Linked DNA regions of Drosophila melanogaster. Changing the gene in region 1 together with any one later gene gives a genetic interaction. Each region holds a gene or a part of one and is shown in the gene's direction. Other genes may lie near its edges. The genes, in order: sty, Edem2 and Ras64B.

The links.
Region 2: of sty (region 1) and Edem2, changing one suppresses a phenotype caused by changing the other (phenotypic suppression), as found in Drosophila melanogaster (one study listed by BioGRID).
Region 3: of sty (region 1) and Ras64B, changing one suppresses a phenotype caused by changing the other (phenotypic suppression), as found in Drosophila melanogaster (one study listed by BioGRID).

Annotation. Positions count from the first base shown.
Region 1 is NT_037436.4:3,423,336-3,434,783, reverse strand, and holds the start of sty (sprouty), read left to right. Parts: upstream 1-9,848; 5' UTR 9,849-10,359; intron 10,360-11,448. Other genes in the region: eIF5B (eukaryotic translation initiation factor 5B), read left to right, coding at 2,419-2,580, 5,701-5,808. UniProt on the Drosophila melanogaster protein: Inhibitor of tracheal branching that restricts branch budding by antagonizing the BNL-FGF pathway (BNL: branchless, an fgf inducer of branching).
Region 2 is NT_033779.5:13,185,756-13,197,203, forward strand, and holds the start of Edem2 (ER degradation enhancer, mannosidase alpha-like 2), read left to right. Parts: upstream 1-6,445; 5' UTR 6,446-6,884; intron 6,885-6,957; 5' UTR 6,958-7,187; coding exon 7,188-7,339; intron 7,340-7,715; coding exon 7,716-7,862; intron 7,863-7,917; coding exon 7,918-8,737; intron 8,738-8,809; coding exon 8,810-9,203; intron 9,204-9,377; coding exon 9,378-9,649; intron 9,650-9,825; coding exon 9,826-9,924; intron 9,925-9,994; coding exon 9,995-10,516; 3' UTR 10,517-11,448. Other genes in the region: CG16974 (uncharacterized protein), read right to left, coding at 1-509, 578-1,209, 1,278-1,570, 1,818-3,818.
Region 3 is NT_037436.4:4,137,302-4,140,901, forward strand, and holds the start of Ras64B (Ras oncogene at 64B), read left to right. Parts: upstream 1-1,774; 5' UTR 1,775-1,877; coding exon 1,878-1,958; intron 1,959-2,605; coding exon 2,606-2,693; intron 2,694-2,749; coding exon 2,750-3,159; 3' UTR 3,160-3,600. Other genes in the region: Rop (Ras opposite), read right to left, coding at 1-1,513. UniProt on the Drosophila melanogaster protein: May be involved in endocytic processes and/or other transport pathways mediated by vesicle trafficking. May interact functionally with ROP protein. Ras proteins bind GDP/GTP and possess intrinsic GTPase activity.

The DNA of each region.
Region 1 (11,448 bases):
GTAGGCAAGTTCGTGGGGCCCCAGACTTCTCGATCCATTTGAAAAGCGTAGATCGTCAGCCCCGAGGGGCTGAAGATTTGGTTGAGGAGAATCCAAGACCGGCAGCCGAGATTGGAAGAATTGATGTGGCTACCGTTTTATATTTTGTATTTTTCGAGGCCACTCGAAGTTGCAGCTGCGCAGACTCAAAGGCCCTGAAAGATTTGCTTTTTCGAGTCCCCCGCGCGACGGATGTTGCGAATTTTCGTCTTTGACACATATAAAATGTGTGCACATGTATATATTATGCGGTATATATATGGGGTAATTCTCTCTACGGTCAACTAATTTAGTGTTTCCTGCTGACAACAGCATAAACAAGCTGCAAAGAAATCAGAGAATTGTGTCACTAAAATGTTTGCGCTGCCCAAAAAAAAACAAAAAAAAAAGAATAAAGATAGCACACAATCTATGTGTTTGTCCCTCTTCTGGTCGCCGCTCTCCATCAAACATTTTACAAAAAGCCAAATGCTTTTTGAATCTCGTTTTGTTCGCTTTCGATTTGTTGTTTTCGTTCATTCATACAAGCAGCGCTTTTTTCGAAAATAGACGACATCCGGTCTGCACGAAATATATAAATCATATTTTTAGATAAACGCCGATACACTCACACACACACACACACACAGCCAAGCGATCTGCCAGCCAGAAAAAGTTGTACAAAAAATATACAAAATCGAACCGGGGGAAAAAAAAGAGGAATGTAAAATGTTGTTTTCGTAGTCAACTTGTTTGGGGTTTTTCGGCGAGACGAGACGGCCGCATCGTCATCGAATTTTTTCTTAATGCCCAATAAAGAATTCGCTTTCTTTGGCATCGAAATCAGAAAGTATATCACACTATTTTGGTCGTTTTAAATTGTGCTTACAGTTGGAAATTAAATGACTTGATAGGGCTAGAAATCTATTAAATTATTAAATTGGATGTTCACAAGAACTTTTTTTTTCTTTTTATAATTTTGTGTAAAAAAGGATTCCTATAAAAATTGTTTTAAATTTAAAGAATTTTGTAAACATTATGCAAAGACAAAAACAAGTATAGACGTCCCAATAATATTACCCGAATAGAACTTTTAATCTAAACCGATTTATCTCCCTGGAAGACGATTTCCTTTTTTGCCACTTGCATCAACAGGCCCATCAATTTCTCCTCTCATCATTTGGTGCGAGTTTGGTATGGGCCGGGTTGTTTTTTTTTTTCGCCATATTCCTTTGCAACATATATACATATAAGTATATACATACCATATCTATCATAAATATCCCCCACTGGGATGATTTCGTTGCTCTCATAAAAGACGAAAATTGCCGGCTCGCACCGCAGTAGCGCAATGTTGAAAGAAAAAATTGTGTGGAAATGGAAATAAATTAACACATTTAATGAAAATTTCGAAGAGAGCGCGAAAACGCGAAGACGCCGCAACGGAAGACGTGGAACGGGGCGTATGAGTAATCAACGACAGGAAATGGTGACAAATGCTCCCTCTCCCCTCACACATCCCCTCGCCCGTCTTTCTCCTTCTAGGGGGTGTGTAAATGTGCTATGTAGCTATTTGCACCGATAGCAACAGGCCAGCACAACAACAACAACAACATGAAAAGCAAAAAAAAAAAAGAATTTCAATAATTTATTTGGTTTGAATGAAATACGAACGAGGGCAGCGACGTCGACGCCATTGGGGCGCCCACAGGAAACGCGACGTTGGCAACAGTTTCCTGTTTTGTTTTTGTCGAGTGCAAACGGGTTACGACAACAAACATGTTACAATTTGGTTCAATGACTTTGTTAGGCCATCGAGATAGGAGCCCATGCACAGCGAGAAAATCAATGGTCCAAAAGGGACTTTAATTTGACTTCGTTTAAGCTGTGAAAATATTTGATAGAAATTTCACTTTAATAGTCGAAACTTAACAAAAATGGGTTTTAAATTTATGTTAGTTTTAATATATAATTAAATGTAAGCAAAGCATAGATAGGCATTGCAGTGTACAGTGTACCCACCCACGAGTTTATCAGTGGAATTGAGGAAGTGGTCACCGCATATGAAACTTGCGCCAGATGCGCTGATAAGACCCACCCATCCACCAGCCATTTGATTCCCCACCCACACGGCCTATTCTACTTTTTTGGCAAACCTTTTATTTAGCGCTTAACGTGGAGTTATTTTACGGCTTTGGCATATTAAACGAGCTGGTGAAACTTATCAGCGATTCAGACGGCGACATGCGGAAGTCCCACCCCATAAAAGTTCACTGCGGCCATCTGATTATTTCTAATTTGCCGCAACATTACACATACGCCCCGTCGGCCACGTATGCTAAAATCACTTTCACAATTTCACTGACCACCAATTCTTCTCTTTCTTTCGTTTGATTGCAGTTCGTGGACATTGGAATCGTGACTTCCATCGAATCGAATCACAAGCAAATCGAATTCGCGCGCAAGGGTCAAGAGATTTGCGTGAAAATCGATCCGATTCCCGGTGAATCGCCCAAAATGTTTGGTCGCCACTTCGAGGCCGATGATATGCTGATTAGCAAGGTAAGTCCATCTATCGATTTTAAAGAACCCTCCACTTGAGGTTACTCAAAACAATGGGCGGTAGAATAAATTCATTAGAATTCGGGAGCGGAAGAATCAACTTAAAACTCGAGATAGGCTCGAGTCGAGTGCATTATTGTCGGGAAGTGAGGAACCGCACTATCATCGTTTTGGTGGGCATGTGTTTATGAATGGATTAGATATCTGAAGTGGTGCAATTATAAACTCAGCTATATCACTTTTTTTGTGTTTTTACTCGGTTCTTTTGTACGCAGTTTCGATTAAACATATTTAAACCGTAAATTTGCAACGTAGTTATTCGCAGAATCAAACCTTTCAACTTAATTAAATGATTTGAATTACGCATGGATTGCTAGAATAATATTGCATTTTACTCAATTAATTTCGCGAAAGCTTTAGGACTTCCATTATCAATGCGCCGTAATTGAGCGAATGCCGGATGCCATTATTCAGTGCGATTTCGAGTGCAAATCACTTGAGTTCAACGGCAGCGGCAATCGAGCAATCGCAACGGGGAAGTGCCAAAGTTGTCAATTGCACCTGGATTGGGTGGATGGTCCGTTTGTCCGATGGCCAGGTGCAGGCCCACTTCGCCTTCACCGCTTCTCCACCTTACACCTTCAAACCTTCGGACCTTCAGACCTTCGGAGCTCCTCACCTTGGTCACTTCCACTTTGGCCAGCTGGCTTATCAAATTACATGGCCAAGTTGTGTGTTAAGTGTTAAATGGCTACAACAGCAACGAACGCCTCGGATCGATGACTTAACTGGCTTAAGTGGCGTTGAGAGGTCTTTGCAACTTCCTTTCGTTCAATCATTTGATTAACAATTACTTACCAGCTCTGACGTCAAGCGCCCTTGATGAGAGAGAGAGGGTGGTGGCGGAGTGGGGAGTGGGAGCGGGAGTGGCTGAAAACCAAAATCGATAGCTAACTTAATTTTCGATTCATTTTGGTCCCTTATCAGCGGGTGACATCGGTGACGTCAAAACGCCAGGCGGCGCTAATTGCCCATTTAGTTGGCAGCGCGCTTCATTCAATTAATGCGGCGTAAAAACAAAGATGAATAGATGTATTTTTAGGCCTACAAATTGAATTGATATAGTTTGCACTGCCAAAAATCATGTTTGACCATGGATATTTACGCACGAATAGAATCTCAGTTCAATTTTATTGATAGCATTGATGGGAGTGTAATGCAAGCAAAGGCCAAATGAGTAAACCTACATTCCAAATTAAATCTAATTAGGCCATCACATTATTATTTTATCGCTCATCTTATGGGCTTTTCGCAGTGCAGGCTCCATCCAAAGCTATTAGGTTGTACGCCACCACCTCGAATTGACAGACTCCCCGACTATTTATAGACCTCAATAAAGGCTGTGCAAAAGAAGCTGGGAGGAGCCATGAAAGGGTATTATGTCATGGCTGACCTGATGATACGTACTTAAGCATGCAGGGTCGTTCTACGGGGGGAGTGACCCGTTCCAGCTCCCAGATATATGTATCTACGGTATAGCGCTCTATTTGACCCGAGTTGCCGGCTGACGTCATGTTTTACCTTCCACGGTAGTGCACTTGCATAGTTCACTGACCCCCGGAGCATCGTCACCATCGAGCTAACCCAGTTTTCTCGGATGTCGACCCAGTTTCGGTGTGTGTTTCTGCAGCGGCTTCGGTTTTCGCCGTTTGCGGTGTTTTGTGTGTTTTTTTTTTTTCGGCTTTAATTTGTGCACTCGCCGTTTATCAGCTATGACGCATTTGGCGACCCAAAATGGAGCAGAGAGCGGAGAACCCTGCTCCAGTCCCAGCCCCAGCCCAGAAGCTCGTCGAATCTGCCTGAAAATTGGAGCTGAGGTCAACCATACACGACTTTGGTTTCGGCCTTGCGGGCTCGGTCAGAAAACTGTGCAAGGCCTTTGTGGGAGCTAAAAATAGCTGCAATTAGTCGAGATTTGGCTAAGAGGACAGCTAAATGGGGGTTTTCAGTGGAAACTAAGGGGAGTGCAGTTCGTGAAAATGGAAAATCCCTTGCAAGCAGTCAGTAGGTTTTAGTTCTTAAGCTTTATCCGATTGCAGAACTCACATGGGCTATTAAACGAAATCAGCGCGGCAAATAAACTTTAATTTAGGCGGGTCATAGATAAGCAATCGATGTATAATTAAACTCAGTCTCGGTTTTTAACGACTGAATCCTCCGATATCCTTCAACTCTCGGATTGCGGACAAAAGAGTCGCCCATTCTGTCATTTAATATGCATGGCCATAAATGGGGACTCCTTGAGGGGCTTTATGCCCCTTATCGTTTAGAGAAATCTTTTCTACATAAATATATACGGCTCCAATAATCAAAACCATTGATCGAGCCTAATTAATATGCGATGCGCCAAAAATGAACAAAAAAAAAGAGAGAGATGGGAATGGAAATGGAAATGGAAATAATAATTAAGCGGGGGAACATGGCAGACAAAGGACAGAGTGTGTTGTCTTTATCAAGGGCGTGCTGTAATCAGACTTTTGGGGGGCCTGAAAGTGGAACTATTCATGAGGTCTTCAGACTGCTCGCCATAAACGCGAGGCATTAAAAAACGCATTAAAAAGGCGCCATAAAAATTGGCGACACTAAAATAGCTTCGATAAAGCGTTGCCGGGGCATAAACTCAAGCTGAATCGGATACGAAAAAGATGGAAAAAAGTATTGTACAAAATGATTTTAATTGTTATGCGCCATATGTCGGGGACTGTGCGGAGCTGGTGGGGCTGATGGGTCTGATGGGGTGCTGGAGGAGAACTGGAGACCCCGAGCTGAAGACACGTGCCATCCCGTTGTTTGATTGATGGAGCAGTCGCTCTGTCCGCATCTCGAATCTCCCTTTGGAGTTATGACAATTGGCACGTTCCAATTATACATATTCGCTGAACTCACAATGCAAATGATTTATGTGTAGCGCAGCGTGTTATTAATATGCATTTGTAGACACACGGGCCAAAAAAAAATTACAATTTCTCTCTCGGGGTTTGCCTTTTCGAAACTTAATGGATTTTTAATTATTGAAATTTCTCAACTTTTTCATGGCATTTTTTCGAACTCTCCTTGCAGATCTCTCGCCAGAGCATTGATGCCTGCAAGGATTACTTCCGTGACGATCTGATCAAGGCGGATTGGGCGCTGATGGTGGAGCTGAAGAAGCTCTTCGAGATTCTCTAAGCGATTTCGCCTGCCAAAATTGCAAACGTGCAACAGACGAGAGATTTTCGCTGGAAGGAAGCAGAACCCTATCAAACTACAGACTGTGTGCGCTTGTGGTGAATCCTCTATAGTCCCGAACAGAGGATCCTTTCTCTTAAGCTTAGTTTCATTTTTATGGTTTACAGCCGTAGCCGTCGTTGCAGTTGTCGCTTAATGAACTCTGTTATAATGGTTTTAAATCAAATTTTTTGTATAACGCCTTTTGCGAACATCCATTTTGCCTGCGATTTTTGTTAGAGCCAAATTAGAAATAAATGCAATAATGTTGTACAACGGAAAAGTTGTGAAAGAACGGTGGGATGGTGGCAGATTCAACTATGCAGGCTGTGTTAACTGTGTCACTAGTGACGTCACGCCAAAGGATATTGACCCACTTGGCATGCGCAGAGGTCCTTTTTTCCCATTCATAGCCAGTTCGCCGATGCTGCTGCTGCTGCCGCTGTGTCATTGAACGCGACAAGGATGCCGATGAATGGGGGAGATGCTGTTGCGGCTGCTGCTGCTGCTGCAGCCAAAAAACTGGGTCATCCGCCGAGGAGGTTCATTCACCCAGCAGCCGCTGGAAGGACAATTGTGTCGCAGCAACTGCTCTCGGCTGCTGCACCAAAGTGTGTGGCAAGTTACGAGCCGCAGTTTTGTGAATGACGCAAATGCTGCTGTTGCTGCCTGCAGCAAAGTATCCTTCAAACGGTCTGTTGTACTGCCCTCAATGGCCTCAAGTGGCCCAAGTTCCAAGTGTGTTCAGCAGGATGTGCGCCCATGCCATCGTCATCGTCATTCGTCCTCGAGGTAATGTTCTGTCAAGTGCCAGCCATTATACACGGCTCTGCTTGAGCCAGATATTGCTGCCGGGCAGGATTTGCCAAGGAGAAACTGTCGATTAAAATTGGATAAGCGACTTAAGCAGGTCAATTAGAGACCAAGGTAAGCTAAAGAAATAGGAAGTTTAGTTTGAGGTATTTAAAACTGAATTTAGTTGGCTGTGTTTAATGACTTTTCACTGTTTCTGTAATTGAAAGCTAGCTAAAAATTGCATACGCATAATTCCCATTTAAAGTGCCATATCAGATATGTCAGATATTAATTCAAATTTTTATTCACACACCCCTTACCTAAATGGTGTCTCTAAACTGTCAAAATGACCGGACGCGTTGTCCAAAAAATAAAATAATAAAGATACAAGCTGCTGGCTCGTAAAAAGTGCAATAAAGTTTAAAGCACCCAATGTACGTAGAAGTGCAGCGGTATTAAGTGGTTCGCAAAAGTTCCATTTGCAAGTGCTTTAGTATCGCATTACGTTATTTCTGGCACGTAATTCCGTCTTAAATGGCGTGAGGTGCAGTAAAATTTCCAAAGGAAATTGTATTTTCCCTGCCAAACTGAATGCCCATCGAGCGTGTACGATTCATTGAGGGAAAAATAAAGATTGCATATAGAAAATCACATAAACATCCTTGGCTGGCTACGTGTCTCCTCGGTTCATTCATTGATTTTCTTGGCCAACTTTTGCCTTGGCCAAAACGCACACACACACACACGCACATGCGCGAAGCTGGGGAAAATCCAAGAATGGCATTCCCCGTCCAGCGTGGTTCACTGGGTGGGAAAACAGTCACCACCCCCACCGCCAAGAGAGTGCGAGAGCGAGAGCCAGGATTTTCATTCACAAGGCGCACTAATGGCCAACATGGATGGCATCCACACCGAAAGGGCTGTGGAACTAGGGCACGACTTTAGCGGCTGTGGTAGGTAAGTGTCGCCACCCACCAGCCACCAGCCACCACCCATCGTGCATCCTGTATCCTTCATCCTTTCGTGCTGCTGCTGTCGCGGCGGGATTGCCGATGTTGCCGTTCGTGTTGCTGCTGTTTTTTTTGTGGGCGGCATTTGACTCATTGAGGAAAACGAACCGCATGGCGAAGGACTCGATGGCCACTTGAGTGTCCTTGCCTCGGCATTTGGTGGGATGAATGAAAAGGTGAAATAAAAGTCAAATGGAAATTAACAGGATTTTAAAATGGATTTTATAACTACTGACAGGCTGAAAGAACATTTACCAAAGCATTGAGTGCATAAACATGTTTGGTTGTTTAACTGTTATAACCAAGCTTATCTGAGTTAAGAAGATTTGAAGCTCGCTTTCTAAAAACTGCTTAATTCATATTCAATTCATATTTTGGTTTTTCCCTCGCTACTGGCTGCTGCTAAGAAAAATCGTGTTTCGTGTTCTTCCGAAAATTCAGAATTAAAACTCCGAATAATTGACAGAACCCATCGATTATCGGACGGAAGTGGTATTGGGAACGGATCTGCTTAGAGAAAAACAGCGACCACGCCAATCGCTGATTTCCAAATAAATATTTTGCACGTGCGTCTCGCTGCCACTTGTGCTGTGAGTGTGATTTTTATTTTTATTCTTTTGGCTGTCTGAAATTGCCCTCGAGTTCATGTTTAGACATTCACCTCGAGGCCAATGTGTTACCTCTGCCACTGCGGCGATTATCTAGGACACTTGTGACGTCAGGCGGGAAAACTGTTGGACTGGGGTGGCGTATTCATTGCGGATTGAATGCACGAAAAGCCATCAGAGCCAAACACCCAGACATCAACTTGGCCAACTTTCATACGGATTTCTCATTGAGCATTTTCGTTCAATGAAATTTCATTTATTTTTATTCTGTCCGTTCGCATTCACACTCATTTATTCGAATTTGTTTGCCCAAAAATGTTTCGGCCAATATACATACGTATATATAATTGAATGGCAGACCACTTTTTGTTGTCGAGTTTGATCTGATCGAATGATTCACATTTCGGTTGGCATTTCAATTTAGGGTCCAAACAATGGCAGATGTCCAGTTGTCCAACTCCGCAGCAAAGCAAATGAAATTCTTTCGGGGATACCCTTATCTTAAAAGGTTATTTTGTTTCTTTATGTTCTTGGGAAGTATTTAAAATATATTATTATTTAATGCTATTCAAAAAGTATCTTACTCAACTTACTCATCCTAAAATAACATTTTCCTAGCGCTCAAGAAAGTAATCCACATTCGTTTTTGAATCCAATTTAGCTCACTCAGCTTTCTTGTTAGACTTTAGCTTTTTATTGTTCTTTATTCTGATGTTCCTTATACATATACAATATATACGTATACAAATATATATGTAGAGTTATTGTGATGCGTACCGCCCATATGTGGAGCTCGGCGAAGTGGCTGCTTTCCGCCAAATTTGGTGCCGCATTCGACCGGATGTCGTTGGAAATAATATTGAAATCTTTATTATTTTCACTGATTAATTTATGGGGCAGTAAACGAAATGAGCTTTGAGTGTGCTGTTCGATTTTAATTTGGGAGCGGTGCACAGGGTGCTGGCTAATTTTCAAATAAGCCCGCCTTAAGGAGGCAGGGCAACCCTGGCCGAACAGCTGATGGACAACGGATGACCTTGGGGGTAATTGCAACAACCCCCAAGTGGAAATTCACTGCCATGGCCAATGTCGAGGCGACGCCTACCGAAGGTCGTTGCCAAGGCAACTGAGTGGGCCAGAGCCCAGCTCATTGGGCCAGGAAATGCAGGCGTGTGTGAGTGGGCGCCCATTGAAAGTGGCGATGCATTCAAAATGGCCGTCAAACGGACGACCTTGAAAGCCGAGTGCTCATTGGCCGGGCCACCGAGGCCAGGATGTTGGGTGGCGGGTGGCTGGTGGGTTGGTAGGCAATTGGAGGGGGCTGGATGGCCATGCAAATGGAGGGAACTGGGAGCCAGGAGCTGGGAACAGGAGCAACCAGCAGCCAGGAGCCAGGATTAGTCCTGCAGCAATAGCCGAAATCGGAAAACAATACGAATGTCGCACGAAGCCCACGCAATGTCGTTTCGTGTTTCGGATTTTGGGACCTTCGGCCCAACGAATGGGTATTCCCCTCCAGGACGAGATCCTATCGGCAATCTTCGGGTGAGGCTGCAGCTCCGATGCAAAAGTCGTGCAACATTGGCTCAGTCACTGGACGATAGTCAGGCTGCATTCAACGTGCAATCTCCGAGAACTTGTGCTTGCAAAATTATTTACCAAATATATATACCCGATATATATACAGTTGTATGTTCAAAGACACAACGCAATTAGCGATTAATAGATGCGCACACGGCGTATGCGTAATTTAAGTGAATCCAAGTAAAAGTGCGCGTGTTTTTAAATAATTAACAATTTTAAATAGTAAACTATCCCATTGAAAAAAAAAACATAATCATACATAGCGTAAGCCTCTTTAACTTTATTACAAATTAATCGTGCTATTAATCAATTAACCAAGGCATCTCGTTGAGTACAGTTGCCACCAGAAAAACAAAACAACTCAATCAACCCCAAAAACCAGAACGAACAAAGGCGAGCTGTACCGAGCCAAAAAAAATCTCTAATCAAATTATCCGCATTATCTGCAATCGAGTCGACCAAGCCGAGGAAAACTTTCAACCAGAACCCATCCATCAAGCAACTTCCCTTCACCGGTGAGTAGCTTCATTGTCCCTTGTCCATCTCTATCAATATATGAACCTTCGCAGTCGAAGAACACTTAAATGTCTCAAGTCATTCATATTGTCAATTGGAACTTTGGATCTTGACTTTTTGTTCTTCTCTTGAGAGCTAAAAGTCACCCAAAGGTTAAGTGACCAGTGCTCATCAGTTGGAAAGGCATTAAAAGTCATTTATATGCCAGTGATTTTTATGCAAGAGATCTTATCGAAGATTTGTCAAGGATATTATAAATGTATTATAAAATGTTCATCCATTTGAATCTTAAATATCTGAGTAAATACGCGGTTGTATAGTTTGTAGAAATTGGGAATTAAATTTCTGGAAAAGTTGAAAAGTCTATCCTAGCCAATATTTTAAAAAAACAAGATCAACTCGATAAAAATAAATTCGTGACATTGTTTCTTTTAGTCAAACAATGATGAACAATTTCCCTACAATATCTTTGAGCTTTGAGTAATGGAATAACATTTAATCGATAGTATGATAGGTCTTAATTTTATAAATTTGTCATCTGTACCCTTTTTCCCTACCTAAAAATCAAATCTTATGCCTGAGCCTTAGAGCTTAGGCATTCTGGAATGCCATAAATCATTTTCACTGCCCCAAATGGGGGGAAAGGCGGAATCGGCGAGGATGAGTGGGGCGAAGTGGCTGGAAGAAGGCTCTTAAGTTAATTTAGTACTTTGTTCGCTGTGCCAGATCATTAAAATTATTTGGCGACTTTGAAAAATTCGAAACAGTAGCCCACAAATACCGACAGCTGAACGAATCTCGAAATGAAATTGGTTTGGCTGATGAGGATGGAGATCGTGTTTTCGTTCGCCGGCTACCCGCTGCGTTTGTCTGCAGATGTCTCATAAACATGAAGACCAACCAGTCCCTACCCTCCGAATATATATCTTTTTTCGAAATTTGTATAATCTGTATGCGAATCATAATGACGCGAAATCAAGATCGGACTGAAGGCTGAAAGCTGAGACACACTTTGGCCTTTTATGCCAGCTCACATGGAGGCTGAGGCTCAGCAAGAATTTTAAAAACTTAACCCATTTTGCAAACAT
Region 2 (11,448 bases), on another chromosome or scaffold:
ACCATCTCGCTGTTTGGAAACCTTATAAATGGCCGGACATGACTTTGAGGTCTTCACATCGTTCAAGTCCTTCAGTTCGGGCATCCCCAGTGGTTTACCGCTGATCTTCCTTAGCGGCTGCATCTCCTGCTCTTGATTATTGTCCTCCACGCTTATGAACTGCGATAGAGCCCCTGCTGCCGCCAAAGCCGCCGCCTGGCCACTGCTGCTGGCGCCTTCGGGATTCATATAGAGCATGGAGGCATTGTAAAGCAATAGCTGAGGTTCCATTTTAAAATCGTGCTCCAACTGCTTTTGCTGATCCAGATTCTCATCAATGTAGTTGATGTGGATGGGGGAGTTCTGCAGGTTAAGTTGCGAGCTATGCAGCAAGTCATCGTCTGGTGGGGTATAGTAAAGCGACGCCTTGCTGGCTGAGTAATTAGCAGATAGGCGCGCCTTAATTTTTTGTATGTGCAGCTCCTTGGAGTCACCAAAGTCCATTTGGCCTTTGAAGTAGCAGTCTATGTCTGATGAAAAAAAAAGGAGTAAATTTAATATATATACGACTTAAAGGTAGTTTGTTATAATATTTTACCCTCGGCAATGTCTTCCTCACATCGTCCGCGACAATTCTCAAAGTAGAAGCTAGGAAGGTTCTCCAGCACCTTGTTCAGCGTCTGCTGTTGGTATTTGTATCCCTCGCGGAGGCGCAATACCTGATGCGCACTAAACTTCCGGATTTTGTTCCTCTGGAAGACGTAGTTTTCCCGCACCCAGCTCAACTGGCCTGTGGAGTAGTCGCGCACCTTCTTCACCTGATCGTAGTATTGGTCCTTCAGCGTGGTCAGATGATTCGAGCCTATGTCACGGAACTCGCGAATATGCTTGGCCTGGCTGGTGTAGCTGCTCTGGATCCACTCCACCTGCTGGGCGCAGTTCTCCCGGATGCGGTGCACCTGCTGCGTATAGTTCTCTCTCAGCCTCTCCAATTGCTGACTCTTGTAGGTCTCGATGCTGTCCAGCATAGCGTATATTTGGTGTTTGCGCGGTGACTTCTTCTTACGATTGACGCAACAATAGAAACGGTTACAGATGCCCCAACGTGACAGGCAGCTCCTCAATCCCTGAACAATCAGGGTTAGCAGCAGGAATGCGGTAGCCAGAGCCGTGCCAAACAGAATGCTACCGATTTTAACTCGGTAGAACACAATGGGATCGATGTACAGTCTGCGAGAAAAGGAAAAAAAAAACCCTTTGAAGAAGTATTTAAACATAATAGTCGCCATTATTCTCACCGTAATCCTGCAGAGGCTTTGCCCATCACATTGAAGGCATAACAAGTGTAGAGGCCACTGTCGATTCTCGAAATATTGTGCACCAGCAGCGATCCGTTCTCCACCAGCACCACTCGACGACCCACTAGACTATTCTGACGTGTCCAGTTCAACGACTGAATGTAGCTCTCGTCCATCAGAGCAGCTAGCTCCTGGGCACTCGGTGGCTGGTGAGCATCCTCCTTGCTGTCGATGATGATCGGGCGCTTGTCAGGATCAGCATGGTGGCGTAAAATCTTATTGCGCGGTGTCACCTGATGAGGGGTAAACGATTAACTCTGTGCCTCATAATAAGTTCATGGAAGAAAAATACATTTAGTCACCTCTAGGAAAGCTAAAGGATTAACTATTAAAAGGGCATAATAAGTTCCGATATCATGGGATATTTAAATATATAATAATATGCAATGCTATATGAACATATTCTTTTAACATTAAGTTACTCCTAAACGAACACGATAAACTCAAAATATGAGTACAATACAAGGATGTTATACTCACCCAGATGATATCCGGCACTGGGCTCCCCGAAATCTGGCACTCCAGCTTGGCGGTGGAGAGAAGCTTGTGCATCTTTGGCTCGGAGAACTGCACCACCGTGGGCACCGAGCAGTTGAGTTTGCTTAGCACGCGGAGCATATCGCCGCGATAACCATACTGACACTTGAGCGCATCGATTTGATGATCGATACTCTCGTACGAGTCCAGTGGAGTCTGATTGGTACTGCCATTGCTATGGTTCTGTGCCTGGGGCATCTGGTGGCGTAGGCTTGTGCTGGTATTCGCCAGCCAGGCAGTCAGCCAATACATGCTGCAGTCGCACTGATACTCGTTGCCCAATATATTAAGGTAGTGCAGCTGTCTGAGCTCTTTGATATTTTCGGGCAGCGATCCCAAGCTATTTCCTCGCACACTGAGTCGCTGCAATCGTGACAGCCCTGAGATCTGCGTGGGCAGCTGCAGCAATCCGTTCTCGGCCAGCAGCAGCTCCCTTATATTCGGAGTATTGGCGAACAAGGTGGCGGGTAAATACGTTAGTTTTCGATTCTGCTGCACGGAAAGGTAACGCAAACGATGAAGCACTTGCGGATCCACAAGGGACTCGTCATAGCGCGATATCCAGTTGGAGAACTGCTCTATTGGCGTCTCATCAATGCGCAGCAGCACCAGGGAGCGCTGTCTCTGAAACAGGCCACTGGGCAGCTGCTTGAACTGATTACGGCTGAGATCCAACTGCCTGAGGGCATGCAGCGACTGGAAGATGATGGATGACAGCAGGGTCAGGTTGTTGCCGGACACGTTCAGGGCGAGCAGGTGATCCAGAGACTCGAACGCCTTTCGATCGATGACGGACAGAGAATTTTGGCTAAGGTCCAACTGACGCAGCTCGCGCAGACTGTACAGACTATGCTTGCCGATGGACTTAAGCTGATTTCGCTGCAGGTGCAGCTGACGCAGCTGGCCGTTGCGGGCAAAGAAGTTGTCCGGAAACGATAGCAGGCGGTTGTCGCTGAGGTCCAGCACTTGAAGATCGGCTGCCGTTTGGAAGAGCATAAATGGCAGAACGCTCAGCCGGTTTCCGGATAGATAGAGGCGCTCAAGCTTCAGGGCTCCAACAAATATGTCTCGTGGAAGCTCAGTCAACAAATTTTGGCTGAGATTCAGCATGCGCAATTCGCTCAGCTCGCCCAGGAAGCGCTGCGGTAAGTAGGTCAGTTCGCTTCTGTCCAAGTGCAGCTCCTGCAATTGCTTCATGTACTGCAGGTTTAGCAGGCTGCAATTGCTCAGTCGATTACCGCTCATTTCAAGTACTTTCACGCGCCGCACGGCCAGCGGAATTGCCCAATGAAGGCACTCCAGGCGATTCTCGGCGAGATTGAGCCGTTCCATATACTCAAAGGAGCGCGGCTGGCGGGTGAAGAGCTCCATGAGCGTTTCATCTTTAAGTTCACTACTCTGCCAGCTGAATTCCCTCAGACTTTCAAGCTGTGGCAGCTTCAGGGGATTACTGCGATCCGCAGGTACATGGGCCAGCATCAGCTGGTTGTAATTAATGTGCGAGCTTCGCTGGGAGAGCAGTTCCTGGTTAACTCGCCTCAGGTCCACATGCTCGCAGTTAAGCTTAAAAACATTGCCCGTGGGATCGACGTGACCGACCGAAGGAAGTTCATGCTCCTCCACCTCTACGCTCTCTGATCCGGCGTCCGCCGCATCCAGCCACAGACCCTCATCACTGTCACTATCATCTAGATCCGAGTCGACGGCATGGCCCACAAACGGTAGGTGGAACTTGTAGCCCAGCAGTGAGAACTCGTGCTCCTGCCAGGTCCTTATCCTGGGCCTGATCTGTGGACGATGTTGCTGCGGGATTTGGGCCAGGTACGCCTCGGCACTGCTGTATGTGGCCAGACAGTGGGTGCTGTCACCACTGATGGCCGCTGCGGCCTTGAGCCCGACAAACAAGGCACACAATATCAAGGAAATCTTCGATATTGCTTCCATTTTTCAGTATGTAATCTCAAATATTTGTACGGTCGCATAGTACACCTGTAAGATAAGAGGGTTTTCAGAATATTATTTATTGCTAAATATATTAATTTTATATTGTGTTATAATCAACTATGTTCACTTTATATTTTTCGTACAACGGTACAAGCCATCTCGAAGTTTTTGGATGTCTGGACACTAAATTAAACCAATTCAGGTTTTTGGTCATTATTGATTTTCGCCTTTACCCTTCGGGAGCCCAAAAAATATGTGTCGCAACTCTCATTTCAGCGGGAGAAGGGAAAAGTGGGATTGGGCAACGGACAAAATCAATAAGTTAGGTAAATAACATAAATAAAACGGTGGTCTAAAGGAGGCGGAGGACGCGACGTCCAGTTGCGCGTCCAAATGGCGACGCACAGAAATGTTTGGAACCGTAAAGAGGTGGAACTTTTGTAGTATTCTTCTTTTAATAATGCATTATAATAGTGTCTGTCTGGATGTGGACAAGTTCCCACTTCTCCAACGACAGATTTCCATTCGCACGCAATGAAGATTAAGAACTTTAAGGCATGCAAGGAACTAAAAAGTTATTATAATGTAGAAGTTTTAATAGAAACACTTAACAAAAAAGTCTGTAGATTAAGCGAATACTTTAGGTGAACATGTAATTGTTTTTGATACAAATAAAGATTAAATCTAGCTATAAATTGCTCAATTATTTTATATTGCTTTAAATCTAAGGTTTTTGAGATCTTAAAGTACTCGTCAAGTTTTATTGAGATAAATGGTGAGGAAAACAAACGTAGTCCGCAACGCTGTGAATCAGCAAGTGGCCATTATAAGTTAGCATATATTTAAATTTTCCTTAATGCCGCCGATTGCATTTGTTTATAAACAGAAATATCGAATGAAATGCCGCCCAGCAACCACAACCTGCACCAACAAAGCAATTACGTACAATATATGGTATACTTCAGTTGCCAAGATTATTACTCAATGGCTTTCGGATAAAAAGACGCGAGAACTATAAAATAATTCATTGTATAATACAGCCCATGTCTCGAGTGACTGACCCCCGATGCCACGTAGAATATATTTACACATATATAGAATATGGAAGGCGTAAAGCTTTTCTATTTGTTGATATTGACAACGGTTGGTGGCCAGCTGTTGGGCCAAAGCTGATAAGAGCAATGAGCCCATAAAACTGATAAGCCGGCACTTTGCGAAAAGTGATCAAGATGGATGGTCGCAGGGGTATTCCATTTAATCTCAGTTCCCAAAGAGCTTGAATCGCTAAGTAAATATGACTGTTGATGGCGAATATTCAACACACCAGCAGAAATCTGGCCAAAACAAATGCAAACAACAAAAATAACGAAAAACCGATACAGAAATAGCCCAGCATACAGACGTAAAAAAACACGAAATACACATGCAGAAATATGGCTAAAAAAAAGTGCCACGAATCTAAGACAATAATTAAATTATGTATGTACATATGTACGTTTGCCTCGCAGAGCGAGAAAGTAGTTGCCAAATTGGTGTGGTGCTACCAATAAATTAGACTAATCAGCTGATATGCCAGTTAGCTGTATATTTTTCCATTAATTTAAATGTCAATTTCGTTAAGCCAAAGAATCGGAGCAGACCGAAAGAGACGGAGATAGAGTGGGTTGCATAATCTGTCATGGAATCCGAGCTCAAAACAACCGTTTAACTGGGTATACAGTGCGGGTACATAATGTACATGCGATACATACACACAGACACACGCACACACGCACACACTTGCAACACCTGGTGACATGTGAAAAGCCGCTAATGAGTCGGGCTGACAGTAAAACGGCCAATTAGCCGAGATTCCCTGCTGCCCCGCAAGTGGAATCGTTCACCAAATTGAAGATTTACTCGCCGCTCCGCCCACTCTCATAATTCATTCATCGCTTTTCGCCTCCTTTTTACCTTGGAAAAACTCATCTCAAGTGAGTGTGTGCGTGTGTGAGCACATATGTACATACATATGCATGTAATGTGCAAGGTGCTGCAGCTTAAGATGTTGCCAAGGGCAACGATTCGCGGCTCGGATTCGGATGTAAATCGAGAAATAACGGGAGTATCTCATTCCAGGTAATTATGAAGCCACCGAAACTTCTGGTTTCGCATTTTTTTCACCCTTTGTGCCTGAAGCAGCCGTTTCAGCTACGCACACACTCGCATCTGTCGAAAGTTTGAACTTTTCACTGGGCTACATAGAAAGAAACATCTATGTTTTTTACCCCAATAAGCTAGTCACTCAATAAATATGTCTTTTATGACATATTGTTTAATTATTATCTCACCGTTGTTTATATTATCTGCATCTTTTCGCGTCTTTTTTCGTCTGGCTTACAGTGTGGCCGTAAAAGAACCGTTGAAGTATACTCATACGCATTAGAAGGTAGTCGGAAAAGGCGTTTGAAATATACCAAAAGCCAGTGCTGTGCAATGATAAAATTTAATATATTTATATTATCGTTATTCTATAAAATGGAAAAGAATAATGAACTTATTCAACTAATATAGAGCATAAATAAAATAATTTTAAAGATTAGCTTATAACAATAGCTTAATGGCGGAGGGCCACTCTCTTCCGCCCGCTGCACAGCTGGTCACACTGAGGGTGCAATCACTTTTTTTTCGTGATAAAATTAAGGAATCTTGAGTTCATCGTTGATAAGCAGCGATCTGATAATTGCCAGCACAGCAGCTCGGATAACTATAAAAACAGACTCAGCTGGATATATAATAGAGAGCCGTAATGCCCCGCCGATCGGCTGGCCGCAGTAACCTTACGATTCTGACGCTCGCTTTGCCGTCGTGGTGTTTTGTTATTGGAGCAGAAAACATATTCCAAACGAGATTATAAATAGTCACGATGTGTGTCGCAGTTGTCGCGGTCGTTGGGAGGATGAATGTGCAATTGCAGATGCCGTAGAAGCAGCGCGCTCCAGTTTTATCCACAGAGACCCGATCTTCTAGTGCCCGTGCAAACCGGGAAAAAAACAACAACAAATTAGGTCGACATTTCGGGCACAGGTAAGCCTAATTTCAGTCGAACAAAATTACTTGTTAAGTTATAAGCTAATTATGAGTTGGCTGTTTCAATTAGGCTGCAGAGCCAATTCAAGCGGACCACGGGCCCAAAGCGGAGTCAACAAAGAAGCGGGACAGAGAGACATCGAAACATTGGTTTCAACACCACACGTTCAAAGTGAAGGTCAACGTCACAACGACTCGAGCGGCAAGTCTGGCGGCCGAAAGACAAAGCCATCCGCCGTCACCAGCACAACCTCCAACGCCACCGCCGCCGCCATCGGTAGTCTCCAGATAGCCAGCACCATGTCTACCACATCCTCCGAATCCTTTGTCCGCGGCCAGCGGCTTATGCTCATCTTCCTGGTGGCCATGTGCATCGTAGTTGCCTGCGTCCTTAGCACCGAAACCACCATGCCCACGCAGAACATGTCCAATAAGGAGCGGGCGGAACTCCGGTAAGTCTCAGCTTCTCGTTTCCTTGTATTTCCTGACCAGGGCAACTTCTGTACGTCTTATTTTTATTTATTTACCAAACTAAGAAAGTTTCAGAAACACTATTAATATTTTAATGTACTCTGGTTTTACGAGGGATCTATGCAATTTGTTTAAATGTAACCCATATATGCGTCAGAAACGACGAGGTCAAATTAGCATAACTCGTTTTTAATCATTTATGGATATACATTTAAATGTGATGCTTATAAAAACGAATTATATATCCATGACTTTCATATTAAGTCATATTAAAACGCTTAAGCTTAAAAGTTGTTCTGAACAATCACATATGTAGAAAGTAAATTCAAGTATACAATATGTTCCATTTGCTTTCAGGGAAGAGGCTCGCGATATGTTCTATCATGCATACAACGCCTACATGCAGAACGCCTATCCAGCTGATGAGCTTATGCCGCTCTCCTGCAAAGGACGGTACCGAGGAGTGACGCCATCACGTGGCGACATGGACGACATCCTTGGAAAGTGAGTTCAAAAACCTAAGGTTTGGAGGGATTACTAACATTGTTCTTATTTTTAGTTTCTCCATGACTCTGGTGGATACTCTGGACACTCTGGTGCTCCTGGGCGATTTCACAGAGTTTGATCACGCGGTGAAGCTAGTTATCCGCGACGTTCAATTCGACAGCGACATTATTGTGTCGGTGTTTGAGACGAACATTCGAATGGTCGGTGGCTTGCTGTCGGCGCACATCCTGGCGGAGTATCTGCAAAAGCATGCGGACACGATGCATTGGTACAAGGGCGAACTGCTGGAGATGTCTCGCGAGCTGGGCTACCGTTTGCTACCGGCGTTCAACACATCCACGGGCATTCCGCATGCGCGGGTTAATCTCCGCCTGGGCATGAAGGACCCGATGCTCAAGAAGTCCCGTGAAACGTGTACGGCGTGTGCTGGTACCATCCTTCTGGAATTTGCTGCTCTGTCGCGTCTCACCGGCGATCCCATTTTCGAGGTGCGAGCTCACGCCGCCATGGATGCACTGTGGAAGCTAAGGCACCGTGGCTCCGATCTCATGGGCACGGTACTTAATGTCCATTCGGGCGATTGGGTGCGTCGCGATTCTGGAGTCGGAGCTGGCATCGACAGTTACTATGAGTACCTGTTCAAGTCGTACGTCCTACTGGGTGACGACAAGTACCTGGCACGCTTTAATCGCCACTACAACGCAGTGATGAAGTACGTCAGCGAAGGACCCATGCTACTCGACGTGCTCATGCACAGGCCACATGCTAAGTCCAAAAACTTCATGGACTCGCTTCTGGCATTTTGGCCGGGCTTGCAGGTGCTATCGGGCGATCTGAAACCAGCTGTGCAGACACACGAGATGCTCTATCAGGTATGTAACATCCTTTCCAAAGCCACCAATGAATGTGATTTGATTTACAAATATATTTAAACATATTTCCAGGTCATGCAGATGCACACCTTCATTCCAGAAGCATTTACCGTCGACTTCCAGATCCATTGGGGACAGCATCCCCTGCGACCAGAATTTATAGAGTCCACTTACTTCCTGTACCGCGCCACTGGCGATCATCATTATCTGCAGGTTGGCAAGAAGGCTCTGAAAACACTCCAGCAGCATGCTAAGGTATCTTGCGGCTATGCGGCCGTCAATGATGTACGGACTGGCAAGCATGAGGATCGCATGGACTCGTTTGTGCTCTCCGAGACGATCAAGTACCTCTTCCTACTGTTCTCCGATCCCCAGGATCTGATCATAAACGTCGATGAGTTCGTCTTCACGACCGAGGCTCATCTGCTACCGCTCTCTATTGCCCAACTAGGGAATGCCACGTTTAGTAAGTACTTGTAAATTGTTTTACGTAATCGCCGCAACGCTATCAGTAATTCCATCTATAGGTCTGGAAAGGTTTCAATTGCTTATTTGCAACAATTTCTTTTGTCTTTAACGTACTGATAGTCTAGTTGGCCATTTGAAAGAACTACTATTCATGTTTTCCATTCTTTTACAGGCTTTCGCCAGACGGACGAACACAACGTACTCGACTTCATGCGCACCTGCCCCAGTTCAAATAGGCTTTTTCCTGAAAAAGTACGCAAACCACTGCGCAACTTCATTACGGGCTCGTGCCCTCGCACCACAGCGGGAAAGCGACTCAGCGCCCTGGATTTTCAGGCAAGCAATGCAGATCATCTTCGAGCTGTTTACGACATGGGCATTACCATGGTTTCGGTAGGCGACCGCAGCCAAGGCAAGGTGCGACTGTTTCATAGTTTCTATAATGTAAGTTTTTTTCTGTTCTGCTTTTTGGTTTCGTTTGCATTTAGTTTGACACTCTGGTTGGTAACCATTGTGCCACCAGTTCCTCCTCGATCTTTCGCTTCCTACTCTTCCTTCTCATCATCATCAGCACACAGATCGTAGAAAAAATATAATAATATAAATTCGACTTTATTCAGGCCAAAAGTCACGAGGAGGGCGAAATGGGACTGCAATTTATGCAGGAGATGCTTGAGCTGACCAAGATGCAAAGCATAAATCAGCTAGCGCAACTGCAGGTTTGCATGCTTTATACATTTTAAATGGAAATCATCATAATGATATTTGAAATGGTTTTCTCGTTTATAGGCCGTTGCCTACGCCACTGACGAGAACTCACAGGATTGGATCGCACTGATGGCCGGGCCGTCGCACTTTAGCCCAGAGTTAACTGGCGATCAGTTCGTCGAAGGGGACGTGATTCTGGCCAAGCCGCTACGAGCATGCGATGAGAGCCTAGAGAACGCCGAGGAGGCGAAAGGAAAGGTCCTGGTGGCCGAGCGCGGCGATTGCACGTTCGTTAGCAAAGCGCGACTGGCCCAGAAGGTGGGGGCGGCGGCGCTGATTGTCTGTGATAATGTTCCGGGCTCTTCCGGTGAGACGCAGCCGATGTTCGCAATGTCTGGCGACGGCAAGGACGACGTGCTCATTCCAGTCGTATTCATGTACAGCATGGAGTTCGGCAAACTGTCGGCGGTCATGCAGCGACGGAAACAACCTCTGCGTGTTCGCGTCATGCAGATGGTGGAGTTTAAGCGGTGGCAACTGGCCAAGGAGCAGCGCCAGAACCAAACAGCGTCGGTAGCACAGAAACCGGAAAAAGAATTGTAGTGGACTGCTACGGCTGCCGGAGCACCCTCAGCGTTTACTCTTCTTTTGGGGCTTGATACAGCCTTGAAATGGTTCTCGCCAAAATAGAGATATGTATATTCTCTATATTCGTAACGTGTGTACAGTAAGCGAACGTAACTAAATTGGAATTTCCTGTACTTTACTAGACATGTAAGAGCGATTTAATGCCACGAGTTATGGAACTCAGTTTAGGGATCTTTGCATTTCGTGGTTGGTTCTCAGGCAGGCAATTGGCTTCCTAGTGGCTATATTATAACCGAATAGCATCGCATTCGCGTTCATTCTAATTGTATATTTGGTCCACCTCACAATTTTTTCGATGGATTTTACTTTTTTGATGTAAGTAAAACTTCTGTATATAAAAACTTAGAACTTAGAGACTAACAAAATCGTAAATAATGATTAGTTTTAAGAAGTTAGTTTATAGGGTAGACAGTCGGAATTGATCGACAACAGAGTAGTTGAAATTGATTAGATATTATACAAAATTAGTTTAAAATATACGAACTATAATTAAAAACCAAAGGCATTTTCGTTTTATCATTAATACTCAAGAGCCAGCTATGATTTTACCCCTGAGATCTTATAGGATTAACCTTCCCTTGTACTCCAATACACGAAGATCTCGGTGACCGGCTCATCCATATAATCAAGATTCAACTGAAGTAAAAAACCAACTTCGTTAGGATGCGAGTCCAAAGGCAGTCTCGAAATCCGTGATCGAGTATTATAAACCAAATTATTGTGGATGACAACATATCTGTGAATCGACTAGATGCAATTGATGCAAACAAAAACGTTGTATTTTTAATAGATTTCCGTTTTAATGACATTAATTTCTTTCCATTTTGGTGTTTCCATTAATCTTAAAAATATGACAAATTTACTACTTCAGTCGATAGTAGCAAATC
Region 3 (3,600 bases), 710 kb from region 1:
GGAGATCGAGCTTATCCTCTATGCAATCCTCCATGATGTCCTTGATCACCGGTGTCCAGCGGGACATCTGGTAGGTGCTTTCTGTGGTGCGCTCCTTGCGCGGCACCGAGTACTGCTTCTTGCGCGAATCTGCAATGACATTGATGCCCAAGCAACTAAGGTTACGCACCATATCCTGATCCTTCGGCGACAGCTGGGCATGCGTAAACAGCTTGGTCAGGTTCTCCTCGGAAATTCCGTTCTTGATCATGACGTACAGGGCAATGATGCGAACCTTGTCGTAGTTCGAGACATTGGCGTCCAGCAAGATGGGCACAATGTTGCGCATATGATCCTTGATCTTTTCGCCCTCGGCGTCCGTGCCCATGGCCAGATCCTGTTCCACGCGGCACAGCTTGTCCACGTAGTTCTGGTACGACTTCATGCAGTCCTCGGCCAAATGCAAGTGGGTGGAGTACTTGGACAGCTCCTTCTGGTACTGCGGCATCTTCTTGATCATCTGCGAGAGATCGCGCATCGACGACTTGTCAGCCGAGCCCATGCGCTTAGAGTCGGTGAATTTCTTAAGGTTCTGAGTCACCTGGGTGGAGACCACAGCGATATGCTCGTGACGCAGCTCCACCCACAAGTCGTCGTTCTCGTCGAGCAGCACCTCCTTATCCGGCTGGTTGGGGCCGGGCGTGTAGCGATACACGTCATTGACGATGGGTAGCAAATCGTAGGCCATGGCCTGCAGGGTGAGCTCGTGCAGCAGCGGCGACACGCAGTCGAAGCCGCGATCCAGGATCAGCAGCTGGGATCGTGCCTTCTCGGGGCCCTCGCCCATGGTGGCATCGTCGGCCTTGTAGGCGTCCAGCTTCTGCTGCACCGACGCGGCCAAATCGATGTTCCTGTCCCAGTCGCTGCGGTAGCGCACATTTGGGTACTCCCCAAGGGTAGCGCACAGTGTGGCTATTTGCTCGGCAATTCGCTCGATGTGCTTGCTCCGAATGGAGGCAAAGGCCGGCGAGTAGAGGCATTGGAATGTGTCCGGCGAGTCCAGCGAGAACACCTGGCATTCGTATGGCAAAAATGCAATGTTGATCTCCTTCAGCGTCTTGATCTTTCCGGCCGCGCACGACTTGCACAGATCGTTGAATAGCTCCTCGGGACAAACTTCGGTGAAGAAGACATGGGCATAGCGATACATGGGCCGCGCTGGGTTCTCGAAGTCTCGTATCAGACCGCGCACTGACTCATCCGACGGCGTAATCAGATAGATCGCGTCCATCGTGGGCAGCGGCTCGCGCTTCTTGTTGATGTCCTCAACCAGGGTGATGCCCTCGGCGCTGATTTCGTGCATCTTGGTGCAGGCGGACACCATGCGCATACCCAGCTTGTCCACCACCAGCACCCGCCATTCCATGCCGCCCGCCCCCGCAGCGGACGTAACGCCCTGCTTTTTGGGTGGTGGAGGCTTGTACTTCACCACCTCGTTCATCAGCTTTTGGCCCACCAGCACTTTCAAGGCCATTTTCACTGCGTTTTATTGGTCACGGGCGCAAAGGCAACTCGATTATGAACACACTGCGTGTAAATATGTCTTTTTAGCTTATTCCGTTCGCTTTTTCGCGTGGGCTAACTTGACTTAAAGAATTTTATCTATTCCTTGGCCAATTTTTCTGTATTTTTTTCGTTTGATGACTTAGCCTTAGTGATGGGCGAAAGTCGATTGCTGGCTAGCGATAGTTGATATCGATATTACTGTCTAGCAGAGACGCGCACCCGTCTCAGTGCGAGTGTGGATTTCTCAGTTAACCGAGAACGGTCACGCTGCTGCTGTCGAGGAAGGAAAATAAAATAATTTTGCTGGCCAACTGGTCGATTTAAACGGGGAAATGCAGATGCAAACGTACAAACTGGTGGTCGTCGGCGGCGGCGGCGTGGGCAAGTCAGCGATAACGATACAGTTCATCCAGGTAAGCCGCCCAGCATCGGCCCAATCCCTGGTGACGTCGCTTTCCACAGGGGCGTTTGAATGTGGGAGTGGGGGGCGATGGCGCACAGGGGCGGTGGCAGGGGGACGGCCCTTGTTTTGGCCAGAGCAACAAACAAGCAACAAGCGACTGTGATGTGCGTCTGTGTTTGGACATGCGTGTGCATAGTTTCGGGCCGAGATCATCACCAACACAATCATCATCATCATCATCATTGGCAGCATCATCATCGCGGTGGCCACACCCCCGTGTGTATCTCCAATTGGGGATCAAGTGGTCAGAGCCCAGAACCAGGGAGTTGCGTTAGACGCAGCCCCCAGTTTTCTGGGTGTGCCGATCGATTCCCCGAGAGTTTGTGCCATGGTCACGACCACAATGACCGCCCGCTTCCATTTATTTTTAGTCATTTGCGTCATCTGCACATCTTTCGTGTATATGCTGTAGCTTTTCCCCAAGATATATAGAGCATAGTGGATAGTGAATGATAAAAGTGACGTGTGTAAACAAATCAAAGGCGGAATGATAAACGCACCCCGCCCACATAAAAAACCCAGTCTTATAATGTTTATATATGTAGTTTTGTGGCCTCGGCAGCTGGCGGTACAATAATTTTAATCCTAATCTTGCAGAGCTACTTCGTCACGGACTACGATCCCACCATTGAAGACTCGTACACGAAGCAGTGCAACATCGACGATGTGCCAGCCAAATTGGACAGTAAGCTTCCTTTCTTTACCCTTACCAGATTCATAATAACCTGATATTTTACCTAGTTTTGGACACGGCTGGCCAGGAGGAGTTCAGTGCCATGCGGGAGCAGTACATGCGCTCCGGCGAGGGATTCCTGCTCGTCTTCGCGCTCAACGATCATTCCAGCTTCGATGAGATCCCCAAGTTCCAGCGCCAGATACTGCGCGTCAAGGATCGCGACGAGTTCCCCATGCTGATGGTGGGTAACAAGTGCGACCTGAAGCACCAGCAGCAGGTGTCCCTGGAGGAGGCGCAGAACACCAGCCGCAACCTGATGATCCCCTACATCGAGTGCAGTGCCAAACTGAGGGTCAACGTCGATCAGGCCTTCCACGAGCTCGTGAGGATCGTGCGCAAGTTCCAGATCGCCGAGCGTCCCTTCATCGAGCAGGATTACAAGAAGAAGGGCAAGAGGAAGTGCTGCCTGATGTAGAAGGAACTAAATGGAAGAGAATCTCCTGAATGCCGCAGCGGAAGCAGGAGCCAACATATAATGATTATAACACCAAATTTTTTGAAAAACACGCGTCGACTGAGCTTTGAATTCCGTTGAGAAGACGATAAACCAGTAACCCGAAACCAGTAACCGCACAAAACGTGTCAACGAGCCCAAACGAAGTGCATTTCTTACCTGCCCAGGTGCATGGCGCATTCAACGAACGAATCGAATAAACTTCGCCACTCTCAAATAGCTACGAAGAATCTTACAACTGACAACTAACAATGCAAAATGCAAACAGAAACACGAAACATAGGTAGATATATACAACAGATTCACACGAATAACTTATATATACATATATATTTCTACATATATTTTTGTAATATTATTTTGTTGATCAACGACAACAATTAAGGACGAATGTTTTCATGA